Rattus norvegicus: one gene and its partner. Each later gene encodes a partner of the first gene's protein in a complex. Links are inferred from orthologs where the notes say so. Each region holds a gene or a part of one and is shown in the gene's direction. Other genes may lie near its edges.

What was found. Proteins that work in one complex are often made in the same cells at the same time.
Region 2: the proteins of Nrp1 (region 1) and Plxna4 are in contact, whole or in part, in a cryo-EM structure (PDB 7M0R), measured with the Mus musculus proteins. The link is inferred for Rattus norvegicus from reciprocal best matches to the Homo sapiens genes NRP1 and PLXNA4. Residues at the interface, in NP_032763.2 of Mus musculus: Arg80, Tyr84, Asp126, Tyr127, Glu128; in NP_786926.2 of Mus musculus: Glu272, Lys340, Lys343, Lys345, Leu349.

The regions. Positions count from the first base shown.
Region 1 is NC_086037.1:73,403,047-73,406,557, forward strand, and holds part of Nrp1 (neuropilin-1 precursor), read left to right. Parts: intron 1-961; coding exon 962-1,233; intron 1,234-1,665; coding exon 1,666-1,762; intron 1,763-3,511. UniProt on the Homo sapiens protein: Cell-surface receptor involved in the development of the cardiovascular system, in angiogenesis, in the formation of certain neuronal circuits and in organogenesis outside the nervous system. Mediates the chemorepulsant activity of semaphorins.
Region 2 is NC_086022.1:62,126,645-62,130,946, reverse strand, and holds the start of Plxna4 (plexin-A4 precursor), read left to right. Parts: upstream 1-1,501; 5' UTR 1,502-2,453; intron 2,454-4,302. UniProt on the Homo sapiens protein: Coreceptor for SEMA3A. Necessary for signaling by class 3 semaphorins and subsequent remodeling of the cytoskeleton. Plays a role in axon guidance in the developing nervous system. Class 3 semaphorins bind to a complex composed of a neuropilin and a plexin.

The DNA.
Region 1 (3,511 bases):
AATGAGAATCAAACTCTTGGGCACACTCGAGAAATCCATAGACCATTAATGTGAACTAAAGGGAAAATAAAAACAATTTTTAAAGATGCCTAAGGATTGATGAGGTAGCTCAGTCATGGGGTAGGGGGGTTGGGGAGGGCTTGCTTTGTAAACACAAGTATATAAATTCAATCCCTAGAATCAATCTTTTAAAATTCAAAAGCAAACAAGCCAGTGTGGTGGCTTACACTTATTTTCCTAGCTCTAAGGACAGGTATATCCCTGAAGTTTTCTGGCTAGCTAGCCTATCCTATTTTTGGAGTTGTAACTTGTTAAGACCCTGTCTCAAAAAACAAAGTGGCTAGCACCTGAAAAATACCCAAAGTTGTTCTCTATCTTCTACAAGCATAGTATGAGCTCCCACACACATGCATGCACTTGACTATAGAAGCAAGCATGTGCATACATGTGTGCGCACACACATACACATGCATACACACAAGAATATAAACATATATACATAATAAATATGTGTATTGGAAAAGTGCAAGAGCAAAAATAACACATCAAGCAGCCAGCAGGTCAGCAGGTTCCTTCCAAGAGGAAAGTGTTCAACATCTCACTTAGTCCAGGTTATCCGAGTGTACATGGATATGCAAAAACATTTTAAAGTCAGACACTTTCTTCAAACTCTGTAAATAGACTGCTTAGACACTACGTTTGATAGTATGAAGACAGATAAAATTTGTAGCCTGTGATGCCATGATACAGGTAAACAGTACCCAGAGTCTCTTTAAAGCCTCTTTGAGCAAGGCCACCAGTGCCTATGGGGCTCCCAGTAATTGCATCTGCTCTCTCCACTGCTTGGTTCCTTGGTACCCAACCCAGGAGAATGTGTTTTATGGGTACTACTTGAGAGGAGAAAGAAAAAAAGAGCTGTAGATTTGGCTGGTCTCCCTGACACAGAGTTTTGCCTCAGCAGGAGATGGCAACTTCATCTATTCCCAAGCTGATGAAAATCAGAAAGGCAAAGTAGCCCGCCTGGTGAGCCCTGTGGTCTATTCCCAGAGTTCTGCCCACTGCATGACCTTCTGGTATCACATGTCCGGCTCTCATGTGGGTACACTGAGGGTCAAACTGCACTACCAGAAGCCAGAGGAATATGATCAACTGGTCTGGATGGTGGTCGGGCACCAAGGAGACCACTGGAAGGAAGGGCGTGTCTTGCTGCACAAATCTCTGAAACTGTATCAGGTATGAACCCTTCTACAAAGTGAGCGCTGGAGCCTTTGGGACACTGGGTTACTGTGTGAAATTCACCACCCTCAACTCTTGCCTCTGTGATGTTTGTGTTAGTGACATCTTACTGTCTCTTAGATGACAGCTGGGAAAAGAAAAGAAAAATCACGTTTACTCGTTTCAGAGATATCACAGATACCATCCCTTTTGCCCAAATATTTTCTTTCCTTTTAAAGTTTATCTTATGAAAACCGCAGAGGTCGGGATCATCTCTGCCACTGGTAGAGAAGAATGGGTAACTAACCTTTGTGCAATCTCCTCATGAATTTAACTCACATGCAGTCTCATGAACGTATGCTAAAGCTTCCACCGAGAGAGTGTTTGTGAACATTGATGCTGAAGACAGAACTTTAGTATATCATGAAAACCATCTCTTTTTTTTTTCAGGTTATTTTTGAAGGTGAAATCGGAAAAGGAAACCTCGGTGGGATTGCTGTGGATGATATCAGTATTAACAACCACATTCCTCAGGAGGACTGTGCAAGTAAGGATGGGTTTGAGCTGGAAGTGAACCAAGTCCTTAGCCCTGGCAGGATCCTTAGCATATGGTAGACTTTGCCTTGTCATTTAGACCAGAATTCACATGCAGGATAAAAGGGTCTAAACGTAGGTCAGTTCTTCACTTACTTCCTGTCTACCTAGCTACTTAGAAAGTCTGATTGACACCTCCAGAATCCAAAGACTGTAGCTTAGAAGTCACATCTGGCCTATGGTAACGTTTTGATGGAGAGTAGAACACTCAGACATCTGGACTATTCTGGTATCTGAGCATGGAAACAAAACAGTGGGCCTTCGAACATGTTGATCACAGAGAATTTAATTAAGATTACATTGTCAATGAGTCACAGATACCAACATTCATCATTGCATAATAAATAAGTAGCCACTTCTGGCTCTGCTCTAGCCGACGTGACTTGGCAGGTAATGGCCATTCAGAGATCTGCCTAACAGGGTTGTCAGGCCCTTCTACAATCCACAGATGAAAGTCGGACAGAGAAAGCCAATTCATATTCCCCAGATCTTGATCCATAATTACAAATAGCATCGCTAATGACAATGTAATAGCACAGTAATTAGTCTTAGGCTCCATTTGCTACACTGAAACTTTTGTTCTATATCATTACATAATAGTCTGTTAATTATAACAGAATGGGATAAGCCTGCTGGGCAAATTGAAGACAAAGGAGGCCAGTTGGCTGCAATGGGTTTTGGTCTTTTCTACAACTTACAAGTCTTTTATTATTATAATACATTGAATATATGTAATCCTTAAAGGGGCAATAATTTGATACCATCAATTGAAGACACCGAAGGAGCAAAAACAGTGAACAATGCTCTGCTTTTCATTCTACATAAAGAAACCTTGTCAATGCCACCATACCCAGCAGCTCTGCAAATTCGTATAGTTTAATAGTTCATCTGAGATTATTTTTGTAAATTACTCATTTCTATGGCTATCTGGCAATTCAAGTGTGCATCCCCTATAGTTAACACAGTATGTGTAATACTGTGTTCCTCTCCCAAGTGCTGAAACCAAAAAGGAGTTGTTTCAGGGATAGAAGAACAAATTCCATAAATAAAAACAACAACAACAACAATAAAAAAAAAACTCAGTTCAGGCCAGCAAGTCCTAACTGGCTATGTACTATATACAAAGCAATGTGCTAAGTGATACAGGAAATTATATGGACATTGGTCTTGTGAACTTTTTCCTACTTAGATATACCAGTAAAGAGTGCTCTGAAAGGGCTGGGGAGACAAGCTGAAGACCTGAGATAGACTAGGTACCGGGATTCCTAGAACCCAAACACAGTAGCACACATATGTTATCTCAGCACTGTGAGGAAGTTACAGGTAGATCCCTGAGCACCTGAGCCAGCCAATCTCACTGAGTTCTAGGTTCAATGAAAGATCCTGCCTCAAAAATTTAGATGAAAAGAAATTGAAAAATGACTCTTGGTGTTAACTTCTGGCCTTTACATGCACATATGAGTAATTATATAATTGTTTTACCAAATATATCTCATTGAGCAACCTAGCCAGGGGGGGCTATTAATGCCAACCACAGATGAGCCATTCATTTGTACATGTTTACGAACGTTATTGTGTGCTAGACAAGATTTTAAATTGAAGAATACAGGACTCAGGACTGTTTCCAATCCTGAGGCTCCATAGAATTTTATTTTATTTATTTTCGATAAATCACAGGAAGAAGTTTACTAGCTCAAAGAGT
Region 2 (4,302 bases), on another chromosome or scaffold:
ATCCAGTGTTTCAGAGACGAGTGGAGCCAGATCAATGTATTAAAGGGAGCTAATGAGATAACCCTTGCTGTTTTCTGGGCCACACAATGCTCGGCGAACAACCAGAGCCTACACCAGGGCTCCATGCTGTCTCCTGGAACACCCTTTAACTAGAGAAATGTCTGGCTTCTTCATGCTTACACTTGATTCATTGCCTCCTTCTGGTGAGAGCACTTTCAACAAGGTCCTGGGTGGGTAAGTCGAACCCGACCCACGTGTGCTACCTGCCCCGGGGCTTGTCTACCTTGTCATCTCATAGCTCCCTTCAGAATCTACCCAGTTTATAACTTTGATTTCTGTGAAAATATAACCCCTATATATAGGAATTTATACCGCAGTTAACACGCTCCTAATAAGCAGGTTCTGAGAGGTTTGGTTGGGAGGGACAGTTATTCACAGGAAGTTACTGAGGTTGAGGAAAGTTAAGTTGAAGAAGTAGCATGGGAGAGTGGGTTAGAAACCCCAAACCATTGTCTTGAAAGGTCTTCCTTTGATGAATGGCTAGTCTTCCTGGACATGGCTGACAGTGCCATTTTCTTGAGCTTAGCATACAAGGTTGGGTGGACAAGTAGGTGTGCATCCTTTGAAAAATTGTTTTATTTTTATTTATTTGTTTTGATGGTTGGCCCATTAATGGGGGGAGGTCTTTGTAGAGATATTCTAAGTAGTTCTGCCTACTTCCTGTCCTCACCTGTACCTTGTATCCTGTCTGCCTGCCAGATGCTGTTTCAACTTAAGCAACTTCAGGATTTCTTCCTTCTGACTTCTGAAAGTACTCTGACGTTAGCAATGTCTGGGTTGTGTTTGGGACATGACCCAGGACCTAGGGCTTCAGAGTTAGAGAAGCAAGGTCAGCTCTGGACAGATCAGGTTACCCAGCAAGCTCTGTGGCATTGGCCATTTATTTCTGTCCCAGGACTAGAAGAAACCTTGGACTTGGGCATCCTCTAGTGCTCTGTGTAGGATTACCTTGGTTGGTGGGGTTGGACGAGGATTCTAGGTTGAGAGTGGATATATGTTTGGTTGGTGTCTGTTAGGAACACACAGAAGTGCCTCTGACCACCTACACCCACATGCCTGTTTGGGAGTATGCTCCAATCCAAGTGCACTTGGTGCCACCATATATGCACCACTCTGCCCTGTGTCTCCATCGCCAGGGTGGTTCGAGAAAGTCATGAAGACCCAGGGCACCCCCTTCTGCAGAAGTCCACGTTGGGGAAACCGGGCAGGCCAGTGGCGGCAGCGTGCGGGGAAGCGCCCCCTGCCCCCTCTGCCGGCCGCTCTACCTGGGTCTAGATGTCAGCCGCGAGCTCCGAGCCAGCTAGCGAGCCAGAGAGGGAGCGGCGGCGGCGGCGGCGGCAGCGGCGGCGGCGGCGGCGGGCCGCGGGCGGCGGGGAGGGGAGGAGGCGAGGAGAGGGAGGGAGGAAGGGAAGCAGGGAGGGCGGGAGGGAGGAGAGGAGGACCCAGAGAGCGCCAGGCAGCTGGAGTTTTGCAGCGCTTGGCCGGGCTTCAATGCACAGCAGCAGCGAGCCGCGGCGGCAGCAGGCAGCCCGGGAGCTCCGGCGGCGGCCGAGCCAGAGGCGGCCCCGCTCCCTGCCCCCTGCAAACTTTGCTAGCAGTCCGCCCGGGGGGCCGGGGACGCGCCTGGGAGGCTCGGCTTGGACCACGGCCGCACTCTTGGCCGCCGCAGCGCTAGCCGCCGCCGTCGCTGCTACCACCGCAGCTCCGCGCCTCCCCAGGGAGCTGCTGGCGGCTTCCGAGGCCCCCCAGCCCCGGCCCCTGGGCACTGCCCGGCTAGTCCCCGGCCAGGGGTGGGAGCAACAGCGGCGCAGTCAGCCCTGGGCTGCCAGGGGGTGGCCGTCACTGCCCAGGGAGACGCGCAGAGGCTCGCAGAGCGCTCCCCGGCGGGTCCCCAACGTACTCGCCGCCGCGCCCGGGCAGCGGCCCGACCCGGCTAGCATGGGCGGCGCGGAGTGACGCCGCCGTGCCCGCTTGGCATCAAGGACATTCAGCCCGCGGGGGTGGGGACGAAGGGGGGCAGCCCCGCGTCGCCGCCGCAGCCCCTGAGAGCCACCGCTGTCGTTGCTTGGGCTCCGGGGCTGGATGGAGGATAGGGGTGCTTGGAATTGATCTACATTTTCTGACCTTTTTGTTGGACATTACGCCCACCTTGGACGCTGCAAGAGGAGCTGTCAAGCCCGGCAGGCTCTGATTTGGCCCCCTCCGTTTTTCTCTGCTGCTCGTGGCTTCCCCGTGCCTTGGTGGAGTATTTGCGTTCGGGGCTGGGGCTGGAGGAGGCAGCCACACGCGCGCACACGCACACGTTCAGAGGAGGGCGAGAGGCAGCGGTACAGGCACCATCTGCAGTGTCAATGCGGCGCTGGGGCTGAAGGAGGGAAACGCCGCGCTTCCAGGTAAGGAGCCGCCGGCCGGGCGCAGGGCCAGCTGGGCAGAGCGGGCGGAGGTGCCGAGTCCGGTCCCGGAGTCCTCATCTGCTCCGAGGCAGCCCACTACACACACACACACACACACACACACACACACACACACACACACACACGCAAAACACAAATCGCGTGCGCGCACACACACATACACACACACATGCACACACTGCGCTCACGCACCTGCCCACGTCCCACCTGGACACCCGCGTAGGTGCATCGCAGTCGGAGCAGGGATTTCCCGTGTTCTTCTCCTTTCCGGACCTAGACTTCTCTTCCCCAGGACTTTCAGGGTGGGATTCAGTTAAATGACTGACTCTCCTATCCAGCCTGGTAGCATGAGGGAGCGATTTTGCTGTTTCTAGTTCCTTTCATTTCCTAACTGGTTTTTATAAGACAGGAGAAGTCATGGGAGGTCTTACGAGACCCGCCCAGTGCAATTGTCCCCTTAGCTTTTTTTGAATACTCGGAGATTTTTTCCCCTTTCTTTCTTTTCTTTTTTTTTTTTTTAAATAGGAGAAAGGCAGAGAGATATTGAAAGGGCAGAGATCTAGAGATCTTGGTGACCGGGCGCCTGGGAGGAGGCCACATAGGCAACTGGGGCTGCAGTTCTGTAGGGCGGCGCATAAGGAACAGACTCTGCGATTCCCCGGTAAAGGCAGCACACACGCCTTTCCGAAGCGTGGCACTGCTTCCCCGGAATGCGCTGGGATTTCAGGCAGGGAGGGGCTTTGACATCAAAGCTAGAGGAGTGTTCCTTGTCTAGGGAGGATGCTGCGGTCCTTTAAGGAGGATCAGACCTTATTTGCGTTGCCAGTCACTGGTAGACAACAAGCAGACAGGGCTTAAGGGGCACATGTTTGCAGCCAACCCCTCACTTCCTTACCCTCTGTGCATGTGAGGCGACTTCCCCCTGTGCCTTTAGTTAACACCTGTCACATGTCTTTTGGGGTGTGTGTCTGAGAACACGAACTAGGAGGGAGAGTAGAGACGGATTTAGACTAACAGAGAAAGGACTGTGAATATGCCATATTCACTTTATAACGTATTTGGTCTACTAGTGTATCCAAGTATGATAGGCTAGTAGTGTAACCCAGAGTCTAGATCCTCTGAGTGCAGGATTGCTCTCCAAAAACCAATGGTTTAAGTTGTACTTCCCCAGAGCTCCCTGCCTCCACCACCCCACTTTCAGATCCTGTTCATTTTGAAACTTCCTAGAATGGATGAGGGTGGTTGAAGTTCCAAAGGGCTTTTTTATGGCTCCCTTATTAGAGTCTAAGAGAGACTTCCTTTGGGGCTCAATTTTTGCAAGGAGAAGAATAGAAGATTTAAATAAATCATTATTTCAGGCTTGAATACATATATAGCAAGTTTCTATGTTCCTATAGCTGTCCCTTTGTGGTATTTTGTGGTTGGTTGGCTGTTTTTGGCATCCTGGCAAAAATGGGAATTGTTTCTATCCTCTTTATAAGAGAGTAGATCTCACACACCCCCCAAGTCTTTGGCTAGGTTTGGGTGGAGAGCAGATGACCCAGGAGGGAAACTCAATTCCTGTTGTGTAGTGTAAGCTGCCCTTTGATTGACTGAAAAGGGTATAAGCCGGAATAAAGGAAAGCTCTTCACAATGGGGAGACCGCAGATCGCAAAGAAACATTATTTTCTTTTTAGGAATGGTGGGTGTGTACACGTCCGGCTGTACACAGGCATTCTTAGAGCCCTGCCAAGTGCAGTCAGCTTGTACAAGCACAGGTGACGGGGTGTCCACGTCTGACTTCTGGGCTGTGACAAACATTGGCACGTTTTGGCATGCACACACTTG